7 linked regions of the Tribolium castaneum genome follow. The protein of the gene in region 4 purifies or fractionates together with the protein of the main gene of each other region. This does not show direct contact. Links are inferred from orthologs where the notes say so. Each region holds a gene or a part of one and is shown on either strand. Other genes may lie near its edges.

Region 1 (4,568 bases), on a different chromosome or scaffold from region 4:
AATAGAGATTTGTGGTGATTGTGATTAACTGATTACTGACTAGGTTCAATAAATAAAGGAACAAATATTTATTTATTAGAAGAATTTTAAGTTTGACATAAAATGTATGTATTAAAATGACATAATAAACATTTTCGTATATCCCAAAACCTGAAGAGTTTTTTAAAAAACTGTACTTTTTTAACCCAAATTTACAAATTGTGTAACTATACTGTAACTTTATATTCAAACAAATTAATACTGTGTGATTTTCTAAAATATTGGTCTAGTTATCCGTGACAGTTACGTTAACCCGATCTCCATTACGGAAATAAGATTCCAACATATTTTTTTTGGTTCTTCGGTGAACATTTTAGACATATTGACAAATAAAGCGATGCTAAAGTTATTTATGCAAAATGTTTCATTGATGACGTATCTGTCATGGATAACTAGATCAGAATTTTAAAAAGTCGGTTGGTAGTTTATTATAATAAGATAACAGATAAATTGCTTCGATTTGAAGCATTGAACTATCGTAGATGCCAAATAATTTTTAATTTTAAAAATGATCGCTTCCCTGTTGAATAGAAAACGGGTAATGAATAGGAATTAAATTATTTATTAAAAGATTTTCTAATATATTTTGTGGGTTTTTGCAATTATTTTCTAAAAAATGAATCTTAAAGCGTTAATTCCGTTAAATAAATCGGAAACCATTTTTAAGCTTTACGTGTAAGTCTTTACAATTTTTTGCTGTCTAAATCTTCTTAAAAAATTGAAGTTATTCACAAATACAAATGCATCGTTTTTAAAAAGAAGACACAACTTGATCCAAAATTTAATAAGAAAGTAAATTTTTTAAATATTTCTGTCATCTACCACAACTTCGTTAAGATGAATATAAGGTGTTCGTTTGTAGTCAAAAAGTTTTATTTCTTTTCTTCGGCATACAGTTTTATTCAATCCGGTTTTATTAAAATTAGTTGGTGCTTTGGCGTCCTCTGACTCCTTTTTATTTTTATTTGTATGCTTTTTTCCATTTATTTTTGTTTATTTTTAAAAACAACTATCTTAATATTCTAATTTAAAATGGTATTTAAAAGAGCTTTTGGCGAAGCAAGTTTGCTCTTATGTTCTTATAGTTATAGTTTTTACCAAAAAGTTGACTAAAATAAAAAAAAAGTTTTTTTTATTTAAATAACATGGCTTGAAACTACAATAACAACTGTTTTTTTAGTGATATATGTGTCCGGAAAAGTACTCTTTCACGGACTATATTCCGTCCCTTCACTAATTAATAATTATATTGTTTTTTTTCATTATCCCCAAATTAATAAGCAGATTATTATAGACAACCAGTAATTCAGCCCCACATTACAAGTAATCTATGGACACTTGTCAATTTGTAAACTGCATTTTTCTAACCTCACTTCCAAGTGTTGTGTGAACGTTTTGGAGTTACGTTTTTAACTCGCTAAAATGTCTTTGGCCGACGAATTATTGGCTGATTTGGAAGAAAACGATCAAGATGATTTGGAAGAAGCGATGGAAGTTGATGAAAAACCGGACATCAAAGAAGAAAAACCCGACGTTAAAGACATCCAGTTAGAGGTAGACACAACTCAAATAACTTCAGTCCGAGAGTTGTGTAAATTACGGGACTCGCCCCATTTACATGAAATATTGAAACAAATCGAAGACCATGTGAAGAAGAGCCGAAAATACCACGACATCATAGGACCAGTTGAGTTGGACCCTGAGTATCAACTGATCGTCGAAGCTAACAACATTGCTGCAGATATAGACGCGGAAATTGGTAAGAGTTACGATTTTAACCAAATCAGTTGAAACTAATCTGTTTTATTGAAGCCACTGTCCATAAATTTGTGCGCGACAAGTACCAGAAGCGGTTCCCCGAGTTGGACTCCCTTGTTGTTGGTCCTTTGGAGTACTTGAAGACCGTCAAAGAGCTCGGGAATGACTTAGACCAAGCCAAAAATAATGAAATTTTGCAACAATTCCTAACGCAGGCAACTATCATGGTTGTCTCAGTCACGGCATCCACGACACAGGGGATTCTCCTAACGGACGTCGAAAAGAAACAAATCGACGAAGCTTGCGACATGGCCATAGACTTGAACAACTTCAAACTGAAAATTTACGAATACGTTGAGAGTCGGATGGCTTTCATCGCCCCCAACTTGTCGGCGATTCTTGGGGCTTCGATCGCCGCCAAGCTCATGGGGGTTGCCGGGGGTTTGACCCGATTGTCCAAAATTCCGGCCTGTAACGTGCAATTGTTGGGCCAACAGAAGAAGGCATTGTCTGGATTTTCACAAGTGAATATGTTGCCGCACACTGGTTTCGTTTATTACGCAGATATCGTGCAAAATACTCCGCCTGATTTGAGAAGGAAGGCTGCCAGACTTGTTGCCACTAAATGCACGCTAGCAGCACGTGTGGACTCGTGTCATGAGAGTAAAGACGGACGTATTGGGCGGCAATTACGCGACGAAATTGAACGAAAACTGGACAAGTTGTTGGAACCACCCCCAGTTAAGTTTATCAAGCCGCTGCCGAAACCTATCGACCAGTCCAAGAAGAAAAGGGGCGGGAAAAGAGTCCGCAAAATGAAAGAGAGATATGCGATGACTGAGTTCAGGAAACATGCCAATAGAATGAACTTCGCTGATGTAAGTTTGGTTTTTCTTGTATTAAATTTTTCTAGTATTGAAAATATTTCTTACATTGAAAATTACACAATATTGTTAGCCAATCTACTGTTGAAGCAGCATTATAGTTTCATTAGATTTTGATAACATACTAGAGATCACAATCTTCTTTGCAAAAAGTTTTCTATGGGTTTGATGAAAATGCAGTTTTATTATTCTCTTGATACTTACAAGACCGGTATCAATAAGTTGTAACGAATAAGCGAAACACATAACTTCAGGTGTACCCCAGTGCTCAGTTTTGGGCCCAATCCTTTTTTTAATTGGGGTGTTCGATGTTTTAACGAAATAACTCCAGTTTTAGTCTTTTTGAGAAAAATATAGAAACGTATGCTATAAAATTTTCTCTTTCAAATGCAATAACTGGTTTTGTAATCGATTGATTTATTTTAATGTCATTAAACAGTAACAGTTGTTATAACACCGAAAATTTGTGGACATTTATTCAGTGCAATAATGAGATAAGTCCATCAATCGTTTTTTTACTAGTCTAGTGATTATTGTTAAATATAATGTATTAAAGCTTCCGTATTATAACTTATGTCAAAATAAGTTTAAAAAAAATAGAGACAAAAATGCAGTAGTAACATTGAATTGAGTTAAATTTTCACGGGTTTTTAAAAACCAAACGGCTTTCAATTTGAAAAAAAAGCGGTTTCGTCTGTAATTCTGTACTGCATTCCTCCTCTTCGCGTTTTATACTAATTTTTATTTATTTATTTTTCAAACAAAATCGATTACCATGATACTGAATGGAATCAAATAAACAATGATCTAAAAAGAATAGCCAAACATTGCAGTAATGTTAACTTAAAACTCAATGAAAATAAATATTCAGTCTTATACTTTGCATCTAAAAGTTGTAAATATTTTGAAGAATAATATATTAATATTTATATTATTAGTAATAAATTAAACGTTCTTGCAAAAAGAAAATCTCTAGGACTTACATTGACAGTGGAAAACACATTATTCATTATCAAAAAATGGTTCATCTCCTTGAAACTCTTACGTTCTAATTATCACATTCAGATTTCAAATTGAGAAATAAACTTATTGAAACTTTGGTAATTCTCCTTTATCTATTATTGCTTTATAATCTTATCCTTGTTTAAATGATGTTGATAGTTGAAAATAGATTATACAAAATTCAAAATATAATGTTATATATACAAAATTCAAAATATAATGTTATATTTTGAATTTTGTATCTTTGGCTTAAAAAAAATGTGATTACATTTCTAAGGTCGAGTTGTATCATCTTTAGTCCTGATTTAAATCCCTAACAATTATTCTCATAACAATGGCTATGGGTTTAATCCTGAAATTTTTTATACAACTCGACCTAAGTGTGTTTCTGACTTAATGTTGGAACTTCGGGATAAGATACTTGAGACTTCTAATAAAAGTATATTTAATATGAAAGTAAATCGAAATACAAAATGACGGAATTGATAAAAATATACACGGCACACTCTTATAAACAAAACTGTGGTTCACACGGAAACGAAACGCGACTCGTGAAACTTAGATGTCCAACACTTCCCCTCGAGTCGTGTGTCGTTAGAATGAATACTTCCAAAAAAAAAAAATTCATCCTTCCACTAAAACTTCTGGCAACTATCCTAACTATTGATAACTTGTAGTCCCGCTGCATTTACACTCCAAATATGTTTTTGTTTAGCGAGTCCTTTAGTTAGGAAATCAGCCACTTGCTGTTCTGTAGAGATATGCTCGAGAGATACTTGCTTGTCTCTCAAAACTTCGCGTACAAAATGGTGACGGACATCTATGTGTTTACTTCTCGCATGAAAAACAGGATTCTCAGCAAGACGTATTGCACTCTGGTTATCA
Region 2 (4,686 bases), on a different chromosome or scaffold from region 4:
ACAGGCTTGATGGGGTCCGCTGTAAAGAAATGTTTTTTTTTTATTTAATTTAAAACAAGTCGTAACTAATTTTTCAGAGAAAAATTTTGCTTAATTTGGTCAAAAATAATCCAAAAATTTACGAAAATGTTGTAATGTTTCTCTTTCCAAGCGTTTAACCCCATCTTCGCTAAACTCGACCAAAAATTGCTAAAATAATAAGCTCAAAAAATGGACAAAAACGAGGTTCGAATGTTTTAGCAAGTTTGTGAGCTAGAAAAGCAATGATGTCGACAAATTTATTCAAAAATGAGCTCAAAAATCATCAAATGTAAGGTTTTTGGCAAAAATTCACTACCTGGGACCCAAAAATCACTTAAATAAGGTCAGGAAATTAAGGAAAAACACATTTATTGAGAGTGATTATTCCGTTGAATTTCTGCAAAAATAAGCTGGAAAATCGTTAACTTAGGATGTTGTTTTGTTTTCGAGGGCTTAAACGTGTTTTTAAGATAAGAAATTAAGTTTTCTTTAGCGAAAATTCGCTAACTGTGACTCAAAAATAATTTAAATAAGGTCAAATATGACATTATTTTCTTCTTTTTTGAGCGTTTTAGCGCAAGATTTTGAGCCAGAAACAATTATTTCGAAGAATATCTTTACAAACAAGCCTAGAAATCGCTAAATTATGTCGAAAAAAGTATTTCATTTGCTTTTTTCGACAGTTCAAAGACGTTCTTGAACTAAAAACTTTTTTTTTGGAGAAAATTTACTAACAAAAGTCACTAAATATGGTTGAAAATGGCATTATTTCTTCAACTTTCGGGCGTTTTGACACGTTTTTCAATTAGAAATAATTATTTCAAAGAATTTCACTAAAATAATCCGAAAAGTTGTCAATTTAGTGAGGAAAAAAAATCACTAAATAAACCAAAAATTACATCACTCTCGATCATTTCGATTGTTTTAACACATTTTTTAGACAGATATCCAATTATTTTGGTAAATTTCGGTCAGAAATAAAATGAAAATCGTCAAATTATGCTGATGTATGGTCAAGAAGACTTAAATTTTCGCGAAATTTCGCTAAACATTGCCAAATAAAGACTAAGTTAGGGCAAGTATTACATTATTTTTGCTTCATCCGAAGGTATAACAAGTTTTCGATGAATTTCTTCAAAAATAAGACGAAAAATCACCAAACTAGATAAAAAAACAGCGTTATATTTCACTTTTTTCAAAGACTTAAACAGATTGTTGGAATAAAATAGTTTTTTTCTGCAAATGAAGCCAAAAATGACATTTGTTTTAGCAAGTTTTTCAGTCAGGAACACAATTATTTAGGGGGATTTCAATTAAATCAGACAAAAGATTCAATAATTAGCTCATTAATAGTTTTTTTTTGCTTTTTTCGAGGCCTTTGCGTGTTTTAAACGAAGTTGTTCCGACGAAAATTCAGTAAACAGGATCCAAAAACACTGAATAAGTTCAAAAGTGAAATTTTCTTTTACTCTTTCAAGCGCTGTAGTCCGTTTTTTATCCAGAAACATACTTATTTCAAGGGATTTTATTAAACTGAGCCGAAAAATCGCCAAAGTAGGTCAATAAAAGCGACAGAATAATCAATAAAATAAGTAAAAAATTCTAATGTTTTGCAATCAGTTTATTTGTTTCACAGAATTCCACCCACAATAAGCCGAAATTTCGCAAAACTGAACCAAAATTATCATTATCATTACGTTTATTACACCAGAAAAATTCTTATATAAGAAACCGAGAATAAATCACATTTTTTTATATAACTCAACGTATTTCCCGACGGGAGACTGAAAATAAAAAAATAAAAATAGTTGTTCTTACTTGGACACCTCAGCTGGGTTGGATGCTCAACCAACGTGGTAATTACAGATTCCTTTATTGCGATTTTCCCATTGAGCATCAAATCTAAATTATCGATCAAAATAACGGAATCCCACCACTCCATCTGCGGTATGTCCTCAATCACCCCCTCAGACTTTGCAATAAGCGCAAGCTTAGTAGCCGACGAAATGCCGGTCTTTTTCGCAATTTGTGAAATTTCATTTTGCAGTTTTTCCAACTGGGCCTGAAAAAAAATTCATTATGACCCAACACACTTCCACAAAAAACCCAGACATACTTTCATACGAAGCCGCTCGGCCTGTTGTAAAAATTTGCCGGGTTCGTGGAACCTAAGCTGTCTTTTGTTCCGAATCGGCGGCTTTATCCCAATTCTCCCATCGTAAAATTTCATTTCGTTACTGTCGTCCGTTTTATCGCTCAACTGCGTCCTGAACTGTTCGCGCTTTTGGGCCCTGATGTTGGCCTTAAGTGTTGGGACAACGTGGGTCAGTTGCACCGCTTTTCCCGTCTTGTCGATGGTCCTCCCTTCGTCGTCCAGGATCAGGGGGGTGGGCCTGTTGGGCACCACTGGTATTTGTATGGCGTTGGTCAAAATCCCGCTGGAGAGCTTGCTCTTGATCTGGGCTTGCAGTTGCGCGATTTTGCGGGCCTTGTCGGCGTCGCCCCTGTTGAGGAGCCCCATGGGGATGCCGTAAATGCTGGGCTGGGGTATGTTCATGTTGATGTTGTTCTTGCCCAAGGCGAGCCCATCAATTAGGGCCCGCTTCCGCTCCTCGATTTGTTTCTGGGCGCTTTCCATGATCTCGCTCGATTTGGATTTGTTGCGGTCGGAGTCATGTCTACTGTCTCTATCGTCGTAGCGCGATTTCGAGCGCTTTGAGTCTCGTTCTCGGGAATCGTCACGCGATCGTTTTTTCGACCGATGCGAGGCATGATAGTCTTCGACTAAATCAAATATCTTTTCGGCTAGTCTTGTCGCCTTTTTGCTATCAACATAAGACGAAAGTTTGTCAGTAGTTTTGCGCCTATCGTACCCTGAATTTAAACAATGGACTGCGGTACTGACCAGGGAGCTATCACTGCTGCCGAGCAGTTTGTAAACGGCTTTGTCTATAGAGGGTTTCAAGTCCTCCACTTCTCGCCGGGAGAGGTACGACATTTTTGGCTTTTTTAACAATTATCAAGATACGATTTCCAACGTTTACACACACGATTTTAGGTTAGAAGTCAAAAATTGGACAACACCAACGGAACAAACTGGAAATACCCTATATCCCAATGACAATCCCCATGTCAAAATGACAATTAGGGGTTATGGGCATGTGACAAGTGTAAATAAATAAAAAAATCAGGAAGGGCCATAAAGCCATAGCCATAGAATAAGGGAGAGGCCATAATCCCTCGATTGGATTAACTTACAATGGGGGTTGAAGTCGATGTTGAGTTTTGGTAAAAAAAATGGAGATGGTTTAGTTTTATTTATATCATTTCAGAGATTATTTGTAGTGGGACTTGTGGATATTTTAAAAAGTTCGAAGAGTTAGCGCAGCATATTAAAGCCAAACACCCCGATATTGAACTGAATGGGCATGAAGGCAGGAGAGCCACATTTGAAGTTAAAGTCAATGGGACTTTGGTTCATTCTAAATTAACTACCCTTGCTTATCCTGACTATGACGACCTTTCTGCGATCATTGATGAAGTGGCTCAAGGAAAAGAACCACGAAGTTGTAAACAACAGCCCATCACCAGTTGCATAATAGCTTGATAAAAATTAATGTATTATTTATTTTTGTGAGTTTGTTGTGAAAATAAAAATATATGTGTAAAAAGGTTTCTTGTTACTTGCAATCAAAAGTCAGATAAACTGATCGCGTGACTAAATTTGACCAATCAGATGCTTAAATTCACCGCGGATTAACTTTTAACAAGGGATTAAGTTTTAATTTCTTTTTTGGCGGGCGTTAAAATTTGGAATGGCCTGTGTACAATATAATTTTATGCGTTATATTTTGGTTCCTTGATCCAAACATGAGAATAGATTTGTTTGGTCAAGCAGGAAGTGGAAAACAACTTTACAGCTGTAATAAAATTTTACGATAAACAGTGAAATAAGTGCAGTGTGAATGTAAATAAGTATGGAACCAAACTTACCTATTTTATATTTAGGAACAATACAAACAGTAAGTGTAAAATCTATTTTTATGCTGGGCTGTTGCAGTAGGAAGATCAGTCTGTATTGCAATAAAAGTCCTTGAAAATATCTTGGTCAGAGTTTTATGTCAGTTTTATTGTTTCTTACAAATAATGACATTTTCAGTGTGACTATACAAAAGTGTAACGAACTTGAATTCACCCAAACAATGGTAAAACAAATTTCTACGTAATATTGCTTGTTTCGTAAGTCGTGGAACAACTAAAAACAATTCAATTTTTGGAGAAAAAGAAAGGAAAATTGAATGGTTTTTAAACCTCACTCGCAGCGTTGTTTGTTGTAGGATTTGTAGTATTTTCGCAACAATTCGGTGAATAAATAAAACTGACAATATTTGTAAGTGTTGTATTGTGAGGTTGCAGTAGGAGCTGTACTGGGTACAGTCTCTTTACACATGAGATTACAAATTGAAAAAATGGAAATAAACCAAACAACCGGAACAAGGAAAGACACACACAACTACTGACAAAAGAGTTGTAAAAATACACTTACACAGCTGGAAATGAGACTTAGTAAAAAATACTACAGTCCCAAATTTTAATTTTTTAATTACTTGTTACAATTAAAACTCGCATTCTGACACCGATACAGAAATTGCAGGCATTCGTTTA
Region 3 (4,728 bases), on a different chromosome or scaffold from region 4:
GTTGTAGTGGTGGAAAGCCTCGCTGTCCTTGTTCAAATTGACGTAGCAGTCGCCCAGCATCTGGTGGATGCGCGAGGTGGGGTGCTGTTCCACGTGCTTCAGCAGGAGCTGCCGAGCTTGGTCGTACTGCTGCTCCTGCTCGAGCAACTCCACGAGCATACAGACGGCCTTAGTGGAAAACGTCTTGTCTTGGCTCACGGCCTTCTCGAGGAGGTTTCGCACCGTTTTCCCGGACGTCATCGGGTCTTTGAGTAAAACGGAGGCGTGCAACTGCAGTGAAACTATTTTTTGTAATTGTTGTTATTTGAGGAATAAATAAGAAAACAACTTAATGGCGCCTAATCCGTTTCGACACCTAAAGCAAAGACAACGTCCCATCCCGATATTCCTCTCAGATAGCGCATTAGTTTGCCAGATGAAGGCAAACGAAAAAAAAGTGATACGTTTTTAAAATAATTCGTCCCAAAAAAACAGTCTAACAGCCAATTCTCTCTTTACCGTATTACAATTTTTTCACTTACCGTAACCGAATGTGGGCTGAAATTGAGCTGTTTGCACGCATTTTGCGCCATGGAGTCGGCCTCCCTCAGCCGATTCATCTTCACATAGCACTCGACCAAACACTGGTGCAAGTCGTATCGAAACGGACAGATCTGGATCGCTTCCGTGCAATGCTGGGCGGCATCCTGGTACTTGCTGAGCTCCACCAGCGTCTTGGCTTTCAGCAGCAACGCCTCTATGTTTTTGGGCGAGGCACAAAGCGCCTGCTGTGCGAAATAAACGGCTTTTTCGTGCCGTCTCGTCGAAAACATCAGATTGCCAATGACCACCCAATGCTCACTCGTCCACAGCGACATATCCGAGGTCGGGATCAAATCCTCCAAATACTCAACGTGTTCGGAAGTCCCCGAGCTCGCCAAAAGCGTGGCCAGTAAATCGCGACCAAAGACTAGGTTCTGGTCGAGTTTAATCGCCCGCTGGAGGACTGCAATCGCCGTCTCGTCCTCACACATGTAGTGGTAGCAGTAGCCCAGGTTGACCAGCAGCGACGTGTTGTCTTTGAGTAGACCGTGGCTGTCCATGCTTTTGTACGTTTGGGCGGCGTTTTCGAAGTCGCGCGAGTACAACTGGGCTTGTGCTTTGAGCCAGAGGTTTAGCCAGTTTAGTTCGGAAGTTGCCTCCACCATTAGTGCGTTGACTTCGACCCCTTTCACCCCCAGCTTGAGCAAGTTCTCCACGGCTTCGAGGGCCAGCGGGCACTCCCGGAGCACCTCCTTGTAGCACGTTATGGCCGAGCGCTCCATCCCGGCCTCCCTGTACAAGTTGCCGAGCGCCATGTTGACTTTGGGGGTCCGCAGGCGGGCCTGAATCGACTGCAGCATCTCGATGGCCCCATTCACCTGCTTCAGGGCCATGCAGCACTTGTGTATCTTGAACCTGATCTCCACATCGCTGGCCAGTTCGGGCTGACTCTCCGTGATTTTATTAGACATTGACTTGGTTTTTAAGAGGTGTTTGCGGAGCTGTAAGGCCTGGCGGTACAAACTCTCGCTTTGGGCGAACTGTTGCGTCTCGTACAGCGAATCGGCGTACAGCAACATCACCTGGAACTTCTGCAAAGGGGGCAAAAAGTCGGGCTTTTGCTCGGACGCCGACAGGGCCAAGTCGCACTAAAAGCACAGTTGGGGGCTCAGACTCCCAAAAGGGGGCTACAAACCACTCGGGAGATGTTCGAGTGCAGGGCAAGCTCGTACATCGCCTGCAATTGCTTCAATAAGTTGGTCATCTTGGCTTGGCAAATGTGGGGTTAGGTTTTTGAACTCGGCAAATCCCGTAACGGCGAAACCACCAATCCGGATTTCGCGCACGTCAAAACGTTGCATTGACGTTGTGTACGGTAGGTATTTCCTTCAAATTTTGTAAAAAGGATGGGTTCTAGTAGCAAAAAATACAAAGAAAAAGAGAAAGAGTCTCGTAAGCGGCGCCACCACAGCCCCGGCTACACCGACGAGCATGAGCCCCCGAAGGAGAAGCGCCACCGCCACAAGAGGCACCACAGGGACAAGAAGCGCGACGCGAGGGCGAAGCACGACTACGACAGCGACGGTAAGCACCCCGCGTCCAACTTTCCCGTTTGAATGATTTTTTGCCAGGATCCGACGTGATCGAGGTGATTCCGGACGATGAGCCTTCGGGCTCCGGGCAAAACGCTGAGAGTCTCTCGATTGAGGAAACGAACAAACTGCGGGCGAAGCTCGGCCTGAAGCCGCTCGATGTGAGTTCGGGGGACAAGTCCGAGAAGAAACGGGATGACGGGAAGAAGAAGGACGATTGGGGCGAGTTTTACCACAAGCCGGCGGAGAATTGGGCGGATAAGCACGAGAGGGAGAAGCTGAAGGGCAAATTGACAACGATTCGGGAAAAGCGCCAGCTGGAGAATAAGCTGGGCAAGGTGAAGCTGCTGGGGGACAGTGATAGTGATGATAATGTGGAGTCGTGGGTTGATAAGAACCGCAAGATTGAATTGGCCAAGAAGGAGGCTGAGAAAAGGGCGAAAATGTTGGAGGAGTTGGATGAGCAGTTTGGGGTCAGCGAGTTTGTGGAGAATGAGAAGAAGGAGAAGAGGAAGCAGAGATACACTGAGAGGAATTTGAAAGGGCTGAGGGTGGAGCATGATGTTGATAGCTTTGCTGAGGAAAGGGATGTTATCTTGACGCTGCAAGACAAGGGCGTCTTGGATGAAGACAAGGAGGATGTCCTGGTCAATGTCAACATGGTTGAGGACGAGAGATACAAAAAGGTAATTTGTTACAAATATTTACAGTGAATGATTATTTATCATCAAATTTCAGAACGTTATAAACAAGAAGAAGAAGATTTTGTATAACGCCTACGAAGACCAGGAGTACGACGAGTTTGGCAACCCCAAAGAAAAGTCGCTTTTGGCCCAATACGACGAAACAATCGACGGCGAAAAACGCGAAAGCTTCAAAATCGGTTACGACAATGCGGTTGAACGTAAACAAGCAATCGTGCAATCAATTAAGGAAAAACTCGCCAAAAAAAGAATCGAATCGATTGAAACAAAAGATTTAAAACTCGCATCGGAATATTACAACGACGAGGAACTGTCCAAATTTAAAAAACCCAAAAAGAAAGTCCGCAAAATCCGAACTAAGGGAAAACTGACCGCTGATGAATTGGAGCAACAAATTAACAACAAAGGCATCGAGGAAGTCGGCTCAAGACGCCCAAAGAAAGAGCTCGAAGACTTGACCATTGACGACATCCCCGAAATGGAATACCCCACGGACGTCAAACTCGAGGACGAGAAGGACGATCTCTTGGAAAAAGCGCTGCACAAGACACGCAAAATCAAACAGAAGGAGAACCTCGTTGCTGAGATTGTTAAATCAACGCCGGTTAAAAGCGAAAGTGAGGAAAACCTGGAGGGGAGTATTGTTCTGAACGCCACGGCGGAGTTTTGCCGCACTTTGGGCGACATCCCAACGTACGGCAAGTCCGGCAACCGCGAGGAAACCGAAGATTTGATCGATTTCGAGCGTGATCTGAAAGACGAGCCCGAAATGGACGAAGTCGAGCAGGAGGAGAAAACCGGCTGGAATTCAGTCGATCCAAACGAGCCGCACGAAAGCCCGCAAATTGCCCCACAAGAGGTGCAAATCCTCGACGAAGAGCCTGATGTCAGTACAGGGCTTGGGGCAGCTTTGAAGCTTGCAATGAGCAAGGGGTACCTGGACAAGGAGCAGAATAAGAGGCCGTCGAATTCGCGGTTAGCGCATTTGCAAGCCAAGCATTACTCTATCGAGGACAAGACCTACGGGGATGAGGGCGATCGCGCGAACCGCCGGGAGAGGTACACTGGCCCCATTATGGAGTTTAAGGAGAAGGATGGGTTTAAGCCCAATGTTAAGTTGGAGTATATCGACGATGATGGGCACGTGTTGAACTCGAAGGAGGCCTTCAGGTATCTCTCGCATAAGTTCCACGGGAAAGGGCCGGGGAAAAATAAGATCGAGAAGAGGATAAAGAAGGGCGTGCAGGAGCAGTTGATGAAGAAGATGAGTTCGACGGATACGCCCTTAGGGACTTTGAATATGCTGCAAGCGAAGCAGAAGGAGACGCAGTCGCCGTATGTGGTCTTGTCGGGGAACAAGCAGAGCCAGCAAACGGCGGTTATTTCCAAAAGTCGGCGTTAAGTAAAATGACTAAGAATAAATAAATACTATAATTTTGTGTGAACAAAATTCAGCGCTACTCTAAAAAGAAGTGGCAATTTTAAATTAAGGAAAACTGGGCATCATTGTAAATTGTATAAATTGTTTCATTTTTATCAGTTTTTATTTACAAAGTCCTAACGAAAAGTGTTACGAAATGTTTTTGTTTTGTAGATCGTTTTTAAGGGACGGGTACGATAATGATAATGGTTTTATGAATAAGTTTTAAAGTCTGGCTCCCTACGAGTACAAACGGTGTAATAATTTTTGCGATAAATGAAATGAATTAAAAGTGAGTTCCGTGTTTTAATTAGAAATTACCAATTTCCCATATTTTCCAACAAAACGGTAATAAAGGAAAATATTGAACAGAAAGTTATAGTTAATTAAAAAAATAAATGGTTGATGACCAGCTCTCGACGTGACCTTTCACGTCACTTCCGTGAGCACCATTATCAGTCATGATTAGGATAGGGATTGCACGGTAATC
Region 4 (3,362 bases):
TTCCTCAATGTACCAAAAATCAAAGGCACGCATTATGCCATGAAAAGTGGGATGTTGGCTGCGGAAAGCGCCTACGAAGCCATTAATAGCGAAAAACAAGAAACTGAAGGTTTTGAACCGAAGAGCTATCCAGACAAAGTTAAGAACAGTTTCATTTGGAAAGACTTGAAACGGGTGAGGAACGTACGACCCAGCTTCCATAATCCTTTGGGGATGTATGGAGGAGTGATGTACAGTGGATTTTCCATAATGATTGGGGGGATGGAACCGTGGACTTTCAAACATGGCGATCCCGATTACAAGAGACTCAAACCGGCCAAAGACTGTACACCTATCGATTATCCGAAGCCTGACGGTAAAATCAGCTTCGATCTCCTCTCTTCCGTTGCGCTGACTGGGACCAATCATGAAGGTGACCAACCCCCGCATCTAACCCTGAAGGACGATACCGTTCCTGTTAAGCAAAATTTGGGCATTTATGACGGGCCTGAAGGCCGGTTTTGTCCAGCAGGAGTGTACGAATTCGTCCCGCTTGAAAGTGGGGACGGTCAAAGGCTGCAAATCAACGCCCAGAACTGTATACATTGCAAAACTTGCGATATTAAAGACCCGAGTCAGAACATCAACTGGGTGGTTCCCGAAGGAGGTGGCGGCCCGGCTTACAACGGAATGTAATTAAGTGCCTTTAAGCAAATTGCTTGACTTTTTATGTATATTGATAATAAAATTTTTATAACACTGTTAGTCATACAGCTCGAAGTCTATCCGGTTCGAGGTGTAAAAGTTGGATTGTTCGCCACACTTACGCACCCACACTCCCGTCTTGAAGTACCCTTCTTTGGACCACTTTAACATTTGTGAGGTGTCGTACGGACCCTCGACTTGGTCCTTGTCTTGGTCCCACTTAAATTCCCACATTAACTGCTCTGGTTTACCTGACACTGACGCCGTCTCCATCTTCTCCTTCTCCTTGTCGCCGAAGTCGTCAGCATACATGTCCAGAACAGGCTCACTGTTTTTCGGTTTCGTTCGGTCGTCAATTTTTTTGGTAATTTCTTCAAAAGTCTCCTGGTATACGTTCATGTTCCCCGTCTTCGTTAATATACTATTCGCGATCTCGGTCATGTCCGCCACATCCTGATTCGAATTCAAAGTCCCTGCCTTCTTGCGCTTCAGTCTCTCGACACTGGACAACTTCAAATCGCCCCCTAACCGCCTCAAACACTTGTTGACCGTTTCTTTGGGTTTCATGTAGTTGAGCATCTTTTTGTACAAACCGACCTCATCGAAATCCTCAGCTTCCGACTCAGAATCACTCTCGGCCCCCAAGCCTTTCTCGTTGGGGTCCAACTGGTACTTATCGTCACTGTTGACTTTATGCCAGTCGATGTTGTCCAACCAATTATCCCGTATTTCCTTCTCGTTGTTCCAAATAAAGTGGCCCTCTTTGTCGAAATGCCCTTCTTCCATCTCCTCTTTCATGTTGAAGGCGGTCATCCGGACCCCTTCAACCTGACGCGAAATTCCCTCCTCTTCGCCCTCGATGTCGTCGGCGTTGAGCTCTTCAGCGGTCTCATCGTAATCGTCCTCTTCGTCCGAATCCAAGGAATGTTTTTTTGCGTTAAACTTCACCTGGCGCCGCTTATTTTGCGAAAAATCGCCTTCGTTGAATTTTCGTTTTGACATTTTTGACAAATGCAAAACAAACAACACGCATGCTCTCAAAACCGATCTGCACTTTTGGTTTGTATCCACGGTTAAATTTTTTAATATTTGTTTTTTTTGGAAATAATCATAATCAGCTTTTTTTACCGCAAATTTTTCACCACGCTTATTACTAAAACATAAACAACTCAAAAATATATTGTAAAAAACCCAAAAAGTTAAGAAAAACTGTAAAATTGAAATGGTATGTTTGGCAACTATCCAAGAGATGGCACAAGCTACTTTAAAATTTGTTTATACTGTGTGTTTCAAAAAAGATGTCCTCCAAATACGTGCAAATACGAATTTCTCTTATGCTCTCATTACTTATTAGCAGTCGCATATTTACATAAGGAGAAAATGGGCTATAGCCCAGAACGACAGAATTTTAGAATTTTTTTGTTACAAGCTTTATTTTTTAAATAAATTGCAAACTAAAGGTTCTGATTTTTTATGGTTGAAATAATGAGTTTTAAGATGTTTTTAATAGTTTCAAATTATATTATATTAAATTCACAATAAGTAAACAGAGAACAAGCCTGAGTACCTAATGCAAATATCTACAGAAAAAGTTTTTAAGTCAGCGACAACGTACACGTACAACTAATATTGTAGAAAAAAGTGCAAAATAGCTACGCTTTTTTTTTTAAAACTTCATAAATAAATACAGGCTGATTTTTTAACATATCTCAGAATATAAATGAGAACATTTAATACCTAGTACATGTTTGGTGACATTACTAAGAATTGTTTCAGGTTTTCCCATGTGATTTTCAGAATTATCTTGCATTTTTAGAGAATTTGTGCTAGAACTGAATTTGCTATTTGATTGACTGATTAAAAAAAGTTCAGATATTAAAAAAAATTAATTAATTTTGTATTTTAAGTTTATTAAGTTACACCTAATGCAAGATTGTAGAGCCATAAATACTACAAGCGCGTCAATTAATAATACAGTGAAACTTAGTTACAACGAACACCTAAGTGACTTCCGAATTTGTTTGTTGTAACCGATCGTTCGTTTTAACATATGGAGTAATTTTCAAGATAAATGAGTTCTAAAGTTTAAGATAGATATACGTTATGAAATAAAGTATGATTATATTTTATTAAAAGCTATATAATTACATGAGTTCATAGTTATACATATGTATACCTATAACAAATATTTTATTTATTTAATGATTTGTGTTTGTACTTAACACCTTAGCTGTTTTTAAGGTATGTTTCACTTTTGAAATCATTCTGCAATATCGAAAATGTTTAGACCAGTTTTTTGTCTAAATATTGGACGTTAAAAGCCAGCATTCGTTGTAAGCGAGGTTCAATTATTCGTTAAAACCGAACTGATTTTTTACTATAATATAAAACGGGACTTTCAATTTTGTTTGTTACATTCGAGCGTTCGTAATATTGGCGTTCAAATGTATTTTTATCTGTTGCCGCCCCCGGACACAGCGAAAAGGTTACAAAATGCTTCTTATAGAGGCATTAAATTAGCGTTATCACTTATCATCAAGCGTTGTAAAAGAAGTAATCAGTGAGGGATCCATTAAGCGCGTCTGGTGCTTGAAGACGAATGAGATTACAAAACATTGATTGGTTGTCTCGCCGGCGCATATTGTAGTAATATGGACGCAGACTGCGCGTACCGCCAT
Region 5 (3,182 bases), on a different chromosome or scaffold from region 4:
GTGCGCCAGTTTTTGAGCGTCCTGTATATTATTTGTGACATTTACTTTCCTAATTTTTTTTGTAAATTGACTACCACTTTATTTAATGTAGCATGATCAATTCTATAGAAAGCCTTTCTTATTCTTTCCTCTATATTTTTTGTGGTATTTGATCTCGTTTTATTTGATAAGTTTGTGGTTAAAGAGGGTTTGAGATTAAAAAAAATATGAGTTTTTTTGGTAATGTTTAAATATTTTATTATCTCTTCTTCCGGTCTCTTACCGAAAAATGCAAAATGCAGAGATTATAAGTTATTTAAACGAAGTGATTCAATGAATTTAAATTCCTTAGTCGACTTGAACAACCATTTTTGAACAGTCTGTACAAGTATACCTTTTTTAAAAATATTTCTTGTTTCGAAGAATAATTTAAAAAAAAATTTATTTCTTCTACAATGACCTCATCAGAGCAGGAACGGACAGTTTTAATATACCTACGAATTAAAAAATAAACTTGTAAATATTACAACTTACTTTTTTTAATCTAGTTTGTAACTAATTAGTTTAGCCAAGTGTTTTCACTGTTTTCACTGCTTGTTGCCACAAAAAATTAATAATTATTGAGTCACACTAATTTATTATTAATTTCATAATCCAATTTTATCCTTTTTTTTATTTAAATTTCATAATCGATCGTTCACTGGTAAATAACCACCTAGTCTTTTAACATAATTCAAAAAAGTAAAACTAGAAAATTTGTATCCAAAAATGACTTTTTGTAAATTTTTTGGGTAAAAATGGTTTTATTTAAGTAACATTTTAATAAAATTGTACTAATAAACTTGTACTTGCAACGTAGTCATTTGATAACTTAAAACTAACCGGAATTTTTCAGTTCTTTCGACAGAGGTCAGAGTTGCGACCGGACCCGAGATCTTGCGAAAATGATTATTACTAGTTTTGTGTTATCTATTCTAATATTGTAATAAATAACATAAATTAATCAGTAACAAGTGTTTTTCAAATACTTTAGGTAGGGGAGAGTGGGGTTATTATGTACAGTGAATAATTATGCCCAAATTTCTGTAGGTTAACCCTCTTATCCTATAATCTAATTTTGCCCATTATAATCGTGTCCACATAATTTCAGCAATTTTGAAGCCTCACTCAAAAACTGTCAAACTAAAAACGTATCTTTCTCATGTTATAGTTATAATTTAGGCGAAAACAAGTCAAAAATTACTTTTTTTAACTTTTCAGATAAGTATTTTCTAACTTCTTATTAACATATAATTTATATAATCGACCTAATCTTAAATTTTTCTCCGCAAAATGTATTCATACAGTGGAACCCCTGTCACCCGAACGGGGATAAACCGACTCCACCAATTATTTTGTTCAATTTCAAATTTTGAATTCGAAAAATTTTTATAACACGAATTTTTGTTTAATTAATTAATTAACTAAAAACACGCAACTAATAAAAATTAAGAACAAGAACACTAGATGCACTAGAGAGAGTTGAGATTTTTAAGGTAAACACTTTGTTGGATTAGTTAAAAAAATTGCTCATATTATAATAACAGGAATCACTTGAACTCAACAAAAGTATTATTCCACTGTATTCTACAAAGATGATTTGAAGTGGCAACGGCCTATTCGGGTGATCGAAGTTCGACTGTATAAAGCAAAATATTTCATTGTTACTACGTGCCAATAGCAAGGTTATTTTGATAATAGCTGTGATAATAGTAAATAATAAAGAATTGTTTTTATTTTCAGAGTCCATAATTATCTGCAAACCTATAAAAAAAATAACGATTTAAAATTGGCGCCACGTAAGTGGCGCTCCCTTCGCAAGTTTTCTTGCCATCTCTTTCTTATATGCTCATTCTCTTTCCCTCTATGGAAGAGGGGGGGTAAAAAAACGTAAGCCAAGCGTGTTTTGCCGGCATAATATAAAAATTGTCTTAATTACACCAAAAATATCAACATGAAATTAGTAAGGTGAGAACGTAAACTACTGATTGATCAGACACGTTTTTATTTCCTTGAATTCCAAGTAAAACTCCTGAAAAACCACCTAACCTAACATTTCGGCCATTTTCAGGTTTTTAATGAAACTGAGCCATGAAACGGTCACAATGGAGCTGAAAAACGGCACACAAGTCCATGGCACTATAACCGGTGTAGATGTGGCCATGAATACGCACTTAAAAGCTGTAAAAGTGACTGTAAAGAACCGAAATCCTGTGAACTTAGACACCCTAACAGTTAGAGGAAACAACATTCGTTACTACATTTTGCCCGATAGTTTACCCCTCGAGACTCTGCTGATTGACGACACCCCCAAAGCCAAGGCCAAGAAGAAGGAGAGCGCCCGGGGGGCTGCCAGAGGCCGCGGGAGGGGCCGTGGCAGAGGGGGCCCCCGAGGCAGGGGCAGAGGGAGAGGGCGTAGATAAGAATACGTTCATTAAATTAAGTTTCGTAATTGTAAGTGTGAATCTTTTCGTTTAGTTCCAGTATTTGTAAAACTTTTATAATTCTGCTAAATTCATCAATAAAACATATTTAGGTTTAAAATGTCTTTGTTATTAAAAATCGGGACCTTGTACTAAAATGTATAAAACGTAAACTGTGAAACAAACAAAACAGAAGGCGGCTACAAATGCGAATGATTTTCGATTGTGTCTGTGGAGTTGTGAAAGTTGGTTTTCGTTTGTGGTTAAAAGTTTGCGAACTTCTCGTAACTCTTTCTTCATGTCGGCTTTTTTCTCGTTGGGGATTTCATCAGATTCGATCTTTTTTTCTAAAAGTTGGACCCTCACGTAACAGGCTTTGATTGCTTCTTCTGTTTTTGTTATCTACAAATGGTTAAATGAGTTTGGTAAAATTAACGTTTTACTGATTACCTCCTTCATGACGGAACATTCTCCTAAAGATAGCCCCATTTTTCGGGTGGTCTTAAACACTGACTATCAATACAGAAACAGATGGACTATCACTTTATTTAACCTCAATTTTTTTTATATTAATAATTATTTTACAAATTTAGGAACATTCTCTTACTTTCAATACAAAAAGTTAAAGCTAAAACATTATCACTCATTCAGATTTGAGATAAGAAATATTTTCTCAAAATCAAAATAAATATAGAAATTGCTTGCCATCGAGTATGCAACCAACATTACAAGCCTGCATAA
Region 6 (2,849 bases), on a different chromosome or scaffold from region 4:
CTTGTCTGTTGCTTCAGCCTGCACTTTTCTGGCAGCTGCGATGGACATACAAAATCGGTCCCCAGGTAAGTGAAAAATTAATTCAAAATTGCTCAACATCAAAAACTGTAATTCTAAATAAATTTGAGATTAAAAACTTACTAAAGAATGGGTAAGTATAGAGGTATAAAGCTAATGAAGAAATAACTAAAAAAGAAATAGTGACCTAATAGTGCACTTAGAGTCGCCCTGACTGCCTATAGAGACGCTGTATCTCTATGCCATTTGAGCATTTGAAAATTGGGAAAAAACACTCAACCCCTATGCACAGATTTCATATAAATGATCCTTTGGTCCTTTGGGATCGGCTAGGGCTCATTAACATCAATTTTGTATCGTTTTGGCATTAATTTTGAGATTTTTCTCGCCTAATTCTAGTTTTTGGGGCTATTAAGACTCAAACAACACTTTACACTTCATCACAGTTTGGAAAATATAAATAATATAAATAAAAATAATCTCCGGTGCAAATAAAAAAATTAAGGTTCAAAGAGGTTTTGGGCCGCAAAGGTGTAGCACTTACCTTACCCAAATTGAAAAATGTGTCTTTTGAGCCGGTTTTTCCCCGAGTATTCTCCATAAACACAGTCAAGGGGCAGGTCGTTGTGCGCATCGCGCCAGGTCACAGTCTGCGCGCCCGCACTTTCAAATTCACAAATATTCCACAAAAACAGGTGCCCCACTTTGCATTTTTGAACCACCCAGTCCAAATAATCACTAGTTTCGTTCGATTTTCTGAGAGATAACAACACTGACTGACAATCACGCGATGACAACTGTTAAAAGCAGCATCCATTTGGTGCAAAGTCAAAGCACTCTTGGCAATTTTTTCTTAAGTGTGATTTCAGGCATTTATCTAACTTTTTGAGCAAAATAACCCTTCCTATTCAGTAAAGAGTTGATTTAAATGTCGTTTCACATCTTTATATCGAGTTTATAGCTTGTCGTTTTTTTCTTTAAAGTCACGTAAAATTATCCCGCCAAAACCAAAATTGTGTCATTAAGGGTAACAATGACAAAGAAAGACCTATTGACGATTGTGTGTGTGTAAGACACGGCGCAACTCCTCATATTAGCTATTTCAAAACTATAAAAACGCCAACCTCGTATTTTCTCTCAAAATTAGTTGTTATAAATTATTTATGCACTTCAAAAAACTAATAGGTAATGTTATTTATAGTCTCAATGATTTATTTATTAATAACTATTTTACATTTTTATCAACCTTATTAAAAAAAAATTGAGTTTATGAGACACCAAGTTCAAAAAAAATATATAAAAAACTATCACGTCAAAGAAAGCTAAATGAGAATAAAAAAAATTTTTTTCGAGACATTTACGCCCATCTGATGATAATTATGGAATAACTCAGCTTGATTAGTTAAGGAAAACCCAAAATATAAATTGTGCGACTATAATTCTGCGTGAATAATTTTGGAAAAAAAATGGGACGTTGGTGTTTTTATAGTTTCGAAACAGCCTAAAAACGACCAAACCACCAGACCTTTTTCTGGTGTATTTCAGCTCGTCAAGCTTCCCGCGTTCCACGATTGCCAACAGAATACAGAACTCACACAGATAACCTTACTTTGGTCGTATTGTAAGCGTCGCCTCATTTTTTAAGTTTTATAAATACTATTGCAAACTTTGAACAAGTTTTTTTCTCTTAATACGAATAATTCGTGCTGTGTGAAAGTGTGTTTGCACTTAGCTTCCTTAAAGAACTTTTTTTGCCGGTAACCCAAGACTCCTCTAACCATGGCGTACAAACCACAAAAAGTTCAAAAAGTGATGGTACAACCCATCAACTTAATTTTTCGTTACTTACAAAACCGTTCACGTGTACAAGTGTGGTTATACGAGAACATTAATCTGAGAATCGAGGGGCACATTGTGGGTTTTGATGAATACATGAATCTTGTGCTGGATGATGCTGAGGAATATTACGTTAAAACGAAGAACAGGAGGCAGCTGGGAAGAATCATGCTTAAAGGAGATAACATAACGCTGATACAGAACGTGAATCCTCAATCAGGCAATTAGTTGTAAATTGTAGCGTAATTCTAAGTTTCATAACAATTTTTTCATTCGTTGGAGTAATGTGTTTGTATGAAAACCGCAATTGGTCTTAGTATTAAGTGATTCATCAACTTTCTGTAAAAGAAATGCGGACATTAAAATTATTTTAGTAATTATGTCTATTTTTATAACTTCAAAGTCCTTAAAATTAAAATGTGATGGACAATACAGGTAATTATCGCTTTTTTAGAATTGTGAAGCTTGTAGGTGTTCCAATATATTTTTTTTGTAGGGGGTAAAGCTGCGACAGGTTTTGTCGAACGTTGCGTCAGCTACATTGGCGAAAATGCTGTAGAATGTGTAAAAACAAACTCATTTCTTTCTCTTCCCAAAGAAGCAGTCTTAAAATTAATCTCCTCAGATTATGTAAGTTTTAAAATTTTACTTAAAATCATTTATTACTGTTTCAATTTAGCTCTGTTTGGAGGAAGAGGATGTCTGGAGAGCAATTTTAAACTGGGCAAAGTACCAAGCTGGTGTCACCCAACCCACAGCCCATTGGACTGAAGAAGAGAGGGCCAGAGTGTGCCAGCACCTCTCACATGTCATTTCTCACGTCCGCTTACTTCTGATTGGTAAATTAAATTTTTTTTTTCTCTTATTTATTTGTAATATTATAGACAGCCAAGTTTTTGCCGAAGAAGTTGAACCAACTGGAGCCGTTCCAATGGAGCTCAGTTTGGAAAGGTACAGACATGCTGCGCTTCCTAGTAAATATCCTGAAGGAGCAG
Region 7 (4,745 bases), on a different chromosome or scaffold from region 4:
ACTTAGGTACAGATTTGACGTAACTCTTTATTACTTTATTACTGAAAATAAGATAAAAATACACCCAAGTGTAAAGTCTATGCATTTGAATAAAAATATCTGATAATGAAGACTTTAACCATTCAAAACCACCTTAAGAAACTAGCCAAAACAAGTTCAAACCCAACGAAAGCATGGCACGACGAAAAGATAACTCGTTTAGTTTTTTATCCAACTTGTTTATGATTACTGATTGATTGTGTAATTGAATACGCCGGTCATCATTCCATTCGTCAACAAAAGAACATCTGGTTGAACCTTCGCTTCTACCTGAACCAGAAACCCCTAAAAACTTAACGACCTGAATCCAATCCTTACAAAATCGAGAAACTCACTTTCGCTTCCTCGCAGGCACTTTGGCCATCGTCACCGACGGCATGATCTACGGCTGGTCGTCCCCCAGCCTCCCCCAGCTCAAAAACAACGAGACTTGCACCTTGTGCATTGACGAAAACCAGGGCTCCAACCTGGCCGTCATGCCCCTGGTGGGGGCGGTCATCGGCTCGCTCACCGCCGCCACCATCGTCGACATCCTGGGCCGCAAACGCACCATCCTTGCCACCGCCGTCCCCTTCTTCCTCTCCTGGATAATGGTGGCTTTCGCCCCCAGCATCGTCCTCCTCTACATCGCGCGTTTAATCGCCGGCATCGCCGACGGCGTCACCTTCACCGTCGTCCCCATGTACATCGGCGAGATCGCCGACCCCCAGGTGCGAGGGATGCTCGGCTCCAGCTGCTCCGTGACCTGGATCGCCGGTTTTCTCATCATAAATGTGATAGGGTCGTACCTTAGTATTAAAACCACGGCACTTGTGTCCTCAATTGTGCCGGCAATCCTATTTATTACATTCTTGTGGATGCCGGAAAGTCCGTACTATTTGTTAATGCGTGGGAGGGCGGACGAGGCCCGGAAATCACTAGAACGCCTCAAAAAACGCGAAAATGTCTCCGGGGATTTGAACCGAATCCGGAACGCAATCCAGGCTGAGGAAAAGTCGCACAATGGGAAATTCGTCGACTTGTTCCGGGTGAAGAGCAACCGGAAGGCCGTTTTCATCATCGGGGGGCTCCGGGGCTTCCAGCAATTGGCGGGGACCACGGCTATTGCCTTCTACACCCATGAGATTTTCCAAACTGCTGGGGACCACATTTCCGCACATTACGCTGTGATGATTTACTACTCCATCCAGTTGCTCCTCACAATGTTCTCCTCGAGTATTGTGGATAAGGCCGGTCGAAGACCACTGTTGATCATCTCAATGGCGGGGTCGGCGTTAGCCCTTTTTGTCGAAGGGACCTATTTTTATCTTTTGAACGAAACGGACATTGATACGAGCTCATTTTCGATCGTGGCCGTTGTGGGGCTTCTAGCTTTTGTGATAATTTTCAGTTTAGGGATGCAGTCAATCCCGATTTGTATGTTAGGGGAGTTGTTTCCCACAAATGTGAAAGCTTTTGCGCTTTGTTTGGCCGATGTTTACTTCAGTGTGATGGCCACAGTGGCCTCCAAGTACTTACAAATAACTAAAGTAGAATACGGACTACATGTCTCGTTTTACGGTTTCGGGATTTGTTCGCTACTTGGACTAGTTTTTATTTATTTCTTTGTGCCTGAAACGAAAGGAAAAACCCTCGAAGACATCCAGAAAAAACTGAGAGGGGAAGTCGAAGTTTGTGATGAACGAGGCGCCGAAGAAGAGAAAGTTAGTCTCAAAGCGTAATTTTATTGAATAAAGTACTTATTTTTTTACAATTTCGAATTTTATTGCATAACCAGATTGACATTATTATTGACACCGTTGACAGTAAATATAACCTTAAAGTTGCAAACACCACACAAAAACAGTCCTAGCGTGATTTAATCAAAAATTAATTAAAAAAGCGTGAATACGATGGAAGCGGACGATGAACCTGCCATGAAAAAGCCCAAGTTCGAGGAGCCCCAAGCCAAATCAAACTCCTCACAACGTAAGTACACATAACCTCGAAAACGCAACTGAAACGTTCAATTTTAGCCGAAATTGAGCCCCCTTCTGACAATTCGGACCGGAAAGGTACAAAAATCAATCGATTAAAGCGCCCTGTTCTATTATTGTCTATTCCAGGTGGGAAGCCCCAAACGCATCGACTGTGCCCCTATTTGGACACAATCAACCGGCAATATCTCGACTTTGATTTCGAAAAATTGTGCTCAGTGTCGTTGACTCGCATCAACGTTTATGCCTGTCTTGTTTGCGGAAAATATTTCCAAGGTAGAGGCACAAACACACATGCTTATACGCATTCGGTGGCCGAAGGCCACCACGTTTTCCTCAACTTGCACACCTTGAAGTTTTACTGCTTGCCCGACAATTATGAAATAATAGGTAATAAATACTCTCAATTGTAGTTTTGAAATTAAGTTGGCAACATTTTTCTTCAAATTTCAACAATTTTACCCAACTCACTTGATTCGAGCTGAAGTTTTACACCGAATTAGATTAAATCGTTTCAATAACGCGAATGTTTGAGAGGGCGCAATGCCAGTAACGCCCCCCTTCAAAAATAAAGTGAAATCTTCGTTTTGTCGCATTTTTCCGATTGGCATTTTATTGAATATCGTTTTGTATGCGTTTTCAACCGAAACTAACTCGAATTAAACCGAGTAATCGTGGAAAAAATACAAAAATGACTAACCTTAGCGTCGTCTAACTGAATTTTTTCAAAACCGGCTTCCAGCTTGCTGCTAACACACTTTGATAGTCTACACACGTCACATTTCCGATAAAAAGTCGATTTGAGTCGTTTTTGCCACTTAACACGCACAAAACACCGGTTTTTCAACACGCAAAAGCAAAAGGACGCGCACTTCGGCAGACAAGCTTCACTCTAACGCTGATGTCACGCCAACGGCACCTCATTGGCTGATTTGAAAATGACACTTGAGCGCGCGTGATTTGAAATTCGCGCGAAGTCTTCAATTGGGAGACTTTTTACAAAGATTAGGATTTATACGTTTTTACAATGTCATAATTCACGAATTTTGTAAAATAAATGCCTGTTTAGCTCAAAAACATGCATAATGGCTTAAAAAAAAAGGAAAAATGAGATAATTTGTGGCCTGATTTGGTAATTTTGCGGCTTGTTTGGCATTTCTGCCTGAAATAACAAGTTGGGATCTTCGGAAAAGACAAACATTATGTAATTATTGAATCCGTTTGGTGGTTTTTCGGTTAATTTTTGTGTTTTTTGTCTATTTTCGATAATCGTGTTGTCAATTTCTGAATTGAAAAAAGCAAATACTAGGAAATGTTCGGGGAAGTATTCGGTTTCAGTAATCAGTGTTGCCACTTAATTTCAAGCTCCAACGATTTTTTTCTAACAAAATTAAATTACTCACAGATTCGTCCCTCGACGACATTAAATACCTGCTCAACCCCACATTTACCGAACAACACATCAGTACATTGGACGTTAGCACAAAAATGTCCCGAGCAATTGATGGCCTACTTTACATGCCAGGAATCGTCGGTTTAAACAACATAAAAGCGAACGATTACTGTAATGTTGTTTTACAAGCCCTTTCACGTGTTGTCCCTTTACGTAATTACTTCCTCCGTGAGGAGAACTACAGCAAGATAAAACGCCCCCCAGGTGACTCCTCTTACCTCCTGGTGCAACGTTACGGTGAACTGATGCGTAAATTATGGAACCCCCGAAATTTCAAAGCCCACGTTTCGCCGCACGAAATGCTCCAAGCTGTGGTTTTGTGGAGCAAAAAGCGCTTCCAAATTACGGCACAAGGCGACCCCATTGATTTCCTTTCGTGGTTTTTGAACGCACTTCATCGGGCACTTAACGGCAATAAAAAGAAAAACAGTTCCATCATTTACCAGTCATTCCTCGGAAACATGAAAATTTACACCAGGAAAATACCACCGACCGAGCTTGACGACAGACAGAAACGCATGCTTTTGTCAACTCCAGAGTACCAGGAGATCATCACCGAGTCACCCTTCTTGTACCTCACCTGCGACTTGCCTCCACCGCCTCTCTTCATCGACGAGTTCCGGGAGAATATCATCCCCCAGGTGAACTTGTACCAGCTCCTCACCAAGTTCAACGGACAGACCGAGAAGGAGTACAAGACTTACAAGGAGAATTTCCTCAAGAAGTTTGAGATTACGCGTTTGCCGCCTTATTTAATCTTGTATATTAAGAGGTTTACGAAGAACACGTTCTACGTGGAGAAGAATCCAACCATTGTGAATTTTCCGGTTAGGAATGTTGATTTTGGCGAGTTTTTGACGCCCGAAGTTAAGGCCAAACATAAACATACGGTCTATGATCTAGTGGCGAATATTGTGCATGATGGAGAGCCGGGGAAAGGCACTTACAGGGTTCATATTTTGCAAAAATCAACGGGCAAGTGGTACGAGATGCAGGACTTGCATGTGACGGATATTTTGCCGCAGATGATTACGCTGACGGAGGCTTATATACAAATTTATGAGCTAAGATTAGAAAAGTAATTTTTTACGAATAAAATTCTATCACCGGAATTTTTGTCTTTTATTTGTCCCTCCCTGATTTTTTTCTGTAATGAAACGTTTAGTCCAGAGAGCGGTTTGTTTTTGGCCTGATTTGGTCAAAAAGCTTTTGAGAAATCAGTCAAATCTTTAGTTCTTGAACATACAGATTAGTTATATTTAAAAGATGAATGCTTT

What was found.
Region 1: the proteins of holn1 (region 4) and Prp31 fractionate together in Homo sapiens (co-fractionation; 3 studies listed by BioGRID, with this or other methods). This does not show direct contact. The link is inferred for Tribolium castaneum from reciprocal best matches to the Homo sapiens genes CD2BP2 and PRPF31.
Region 2: the proteins of holn1 (region 4) and Prp3 purify together in Homo sapiens (affinity purification with mass spectrometry; 3 studies listed by BioGRID and IntAct, with this or other methods). This does not show direct contact. The link is inferred for Tribolium castaneum from reciprocal best matches to the Homo sapiens genes CD2BP2 and PRPF3.
Region 3: the proteins of holn1 (region 4) and U4/U6.U5 tri-snRNP-associated protein 1 purify together in Homo sapiens (affinity purification with mass spectrometry; 4 studies listed by BioGRID and IntAct, with this or other methods). This does not show direct contact. The link is inferred for Tribolium castaneum from reciprocal best matches to the Homo sapiens genes CD2BP2 and SART1.
Region 5: the proteins of holn1 (region 4) and SmD1 purify together in Homo sapiens (affinity purification with mass spectrometry; 3 studies listed by BioGRID and IntAct, counting the BioPlex papers as one, with this or other methods). This does not show direct contact. The link is inferred for Tribolium castaneum from reciprocal best matches to the Homo sapiens genes CD2BP2 and SNRPD1.
Region 6: the proteins of holn1 (region 4) and SmE purify together in Homo sapiens (affinity purification with mass spectrometry; 3 studies listed by BioGRID and IntAct, counting the BioPlex papers as one, with this or other methods). This does not show direct contact. The link is inferred for Tribolium castaneum from reciprocal best matches to the Homo sapiens genes CD2BP2 and SNRPE.
Region 7: the proteins of holn1 (region 4) and Usp39 purify together in Homo sapiens (affinity purification with mass spectrometry; 5 studies listed by BioGRID and IntAct, with this or other methods). This does not show direct contact. The link is inferred for Tribolium castaneum from reciprocal best matches to the Homo sapiens genes CD2BP2 and USP39.

What each region holds. Positions count from the first base shown.
Region 1 is NC_087395.1:18,107,428-18,111,995, forward strand, and holds the start of Prp31 (U4/U6 small nuclear ribonucleoprotein Prp31), read left to right. Parts: upstream 1-1,366; 5' UTR 1,367-1,461; coding exon 1,462-1,798; intron 1,799-1,851; coding exon 1,852-2,675; intron 2,676-4,568. UniProt on the Homo sapiens protein: Involved in pre-mRNA splicing as component of the spliceosome. Required for the assembly of the U4/U5/U6 tri-snRNP complex, one of the building blocks of the spliceosome.
Region 2 is NC_087397.1:1,257,117-1,261,802, reverse strand, and holds the start of Prp3 (U4/U6 small nuclear ribonucleoprotein Prp3), read right to left. Parts: upstream 3,020-4,686; coding exon 2,138-3,019; intron 2,084-2,137; coding exon 1,840-2,083; intron 20-1,839; coding exon 1-19. Other genes in the region: migration and invasion enhancer 1, read left to right, coding at 3,281-3,309, 3,367-3,628. UniProt on the Homo sapiens protein: Plays a role in pre-mRNA splicing as component of the U4/U6-U5 tri-snRNP complex that is involved in spliceosome assembly, and as component of the precatalytic spliceosome (spliceosome B complex).
Region 3 is NC_087395.1:24,229,037-24,233,764, forward strand, and holds U4/U6.U5 tri-snRNP-associated protein 1, read left to right. Parts: upstream 1-1,928; coding exon 1,929-2,106; intron 2,107-2,153; coding exon 2,154-2,800; intron 2,801-2,852; coding exon 2,853-4,220; 3' UTR 4,221-4,534; downstream 4,535-4,728. Other genes in the region: APC7 (anaphase-promoting complex subunit 7), read right to left, coding at 1-270, 522-1,670, 1,718-1,786. UniProt on the Homo sapiens protein: Plays a role in mRNA splicing as a component of the U4/U6-U5 tri-snRNP, one of the building blocks of the spliceosome. May also bind to DNA.
Region 4 is NC_087402.1:7,512,449-7,515,810, forward strand, and holds holn1 (CD2 antigen cytoplasmic tail-binding protein 2 homolog), read right to left. Parts: upstream 1,725-3,362; 5' UTR 1,687-1,724; coding exon 742-1,686; 3' UTR 695-741; downstream 1-694. Other genes in the region: Etf-QO (electron transfer flavoprotein-ubiquinone oxidoreductase, mitochondrial), read left to right, coding at 1-675. UniProt on the Homo sapiens protein: Involved in pre-mRNA splicing as component of the U5 snRNP complex that is involved in spliceosome assembly.
Region 5 is NC_087394.1:7,020,237-7,023,418, reverse strand, and holds SmD1 (probable small nuclear ribonucleoprotein Sm D1), read left to right. Parts: upstream 1-1,831; 5' UTR 1,832-1,972; coding exon 1,973-1,986; intron 1,987-2,089; coding exon 2,090-2,441; 3' UTR 2,442-2,562; downstream 2,563-3,182. UniProt on the Homo sapiens protein: Plays a role in pre-mRNA splicing as a core component of the spliceosomal U1, U2, U4 and U5 small nuclear ribonucleoproteins (snRNPs), the building blocks of the spliceosome.
Region 6 is NC_087394.1:32,141,237-32,144,085, forward strand, and holds SmE (probable small nuclear ribonucleoprotein E), read left to right. Parts: upstream 1-1,580; 5' UTR 1,581-1,797; coding exon 1,798-2,082; 3' UTR 2,083-2,231; downstream 2,232-2,849. Other genes in the region: kelch-like protein 21, read left to right, coding at 1-65, 2,351-2,484, 2,534-2,693, 2,739-2,849. UniProt on the Homo sapiens protein: Plays a role in pre-mRNA splicing as a core component of the spliceosomal U1, U2, U4 and U5 small nuclear ribonucleoproteins (snRNPs), the building blocks of the spliceosome.
Region 7 is NC_087394.1:36,569,713-36,574,457, reverse strand, and holds Usp39 (ubiquitin carboxyl-terminal hydrolase 39), read left to right. Parts: upstream 1-1,787; 5' UTR 1,788-1,931; coding exon 1,932-2,007; intron 2,008-2,054; coding exon 2,055-2,093; intron 2,094-2,144; coding exon 2,145-2,405; intron 2,406-2,715; exon of another isoform or gene 2,716-2,959; intron 2,960-3,420; coding exon 3,421-4,550; 3' UTR 4,551-4,580; downstream 4,581-4,745. Other genes in the region: facilitated trehalose transporter Tret1, read left to right, coding at 391-1,760.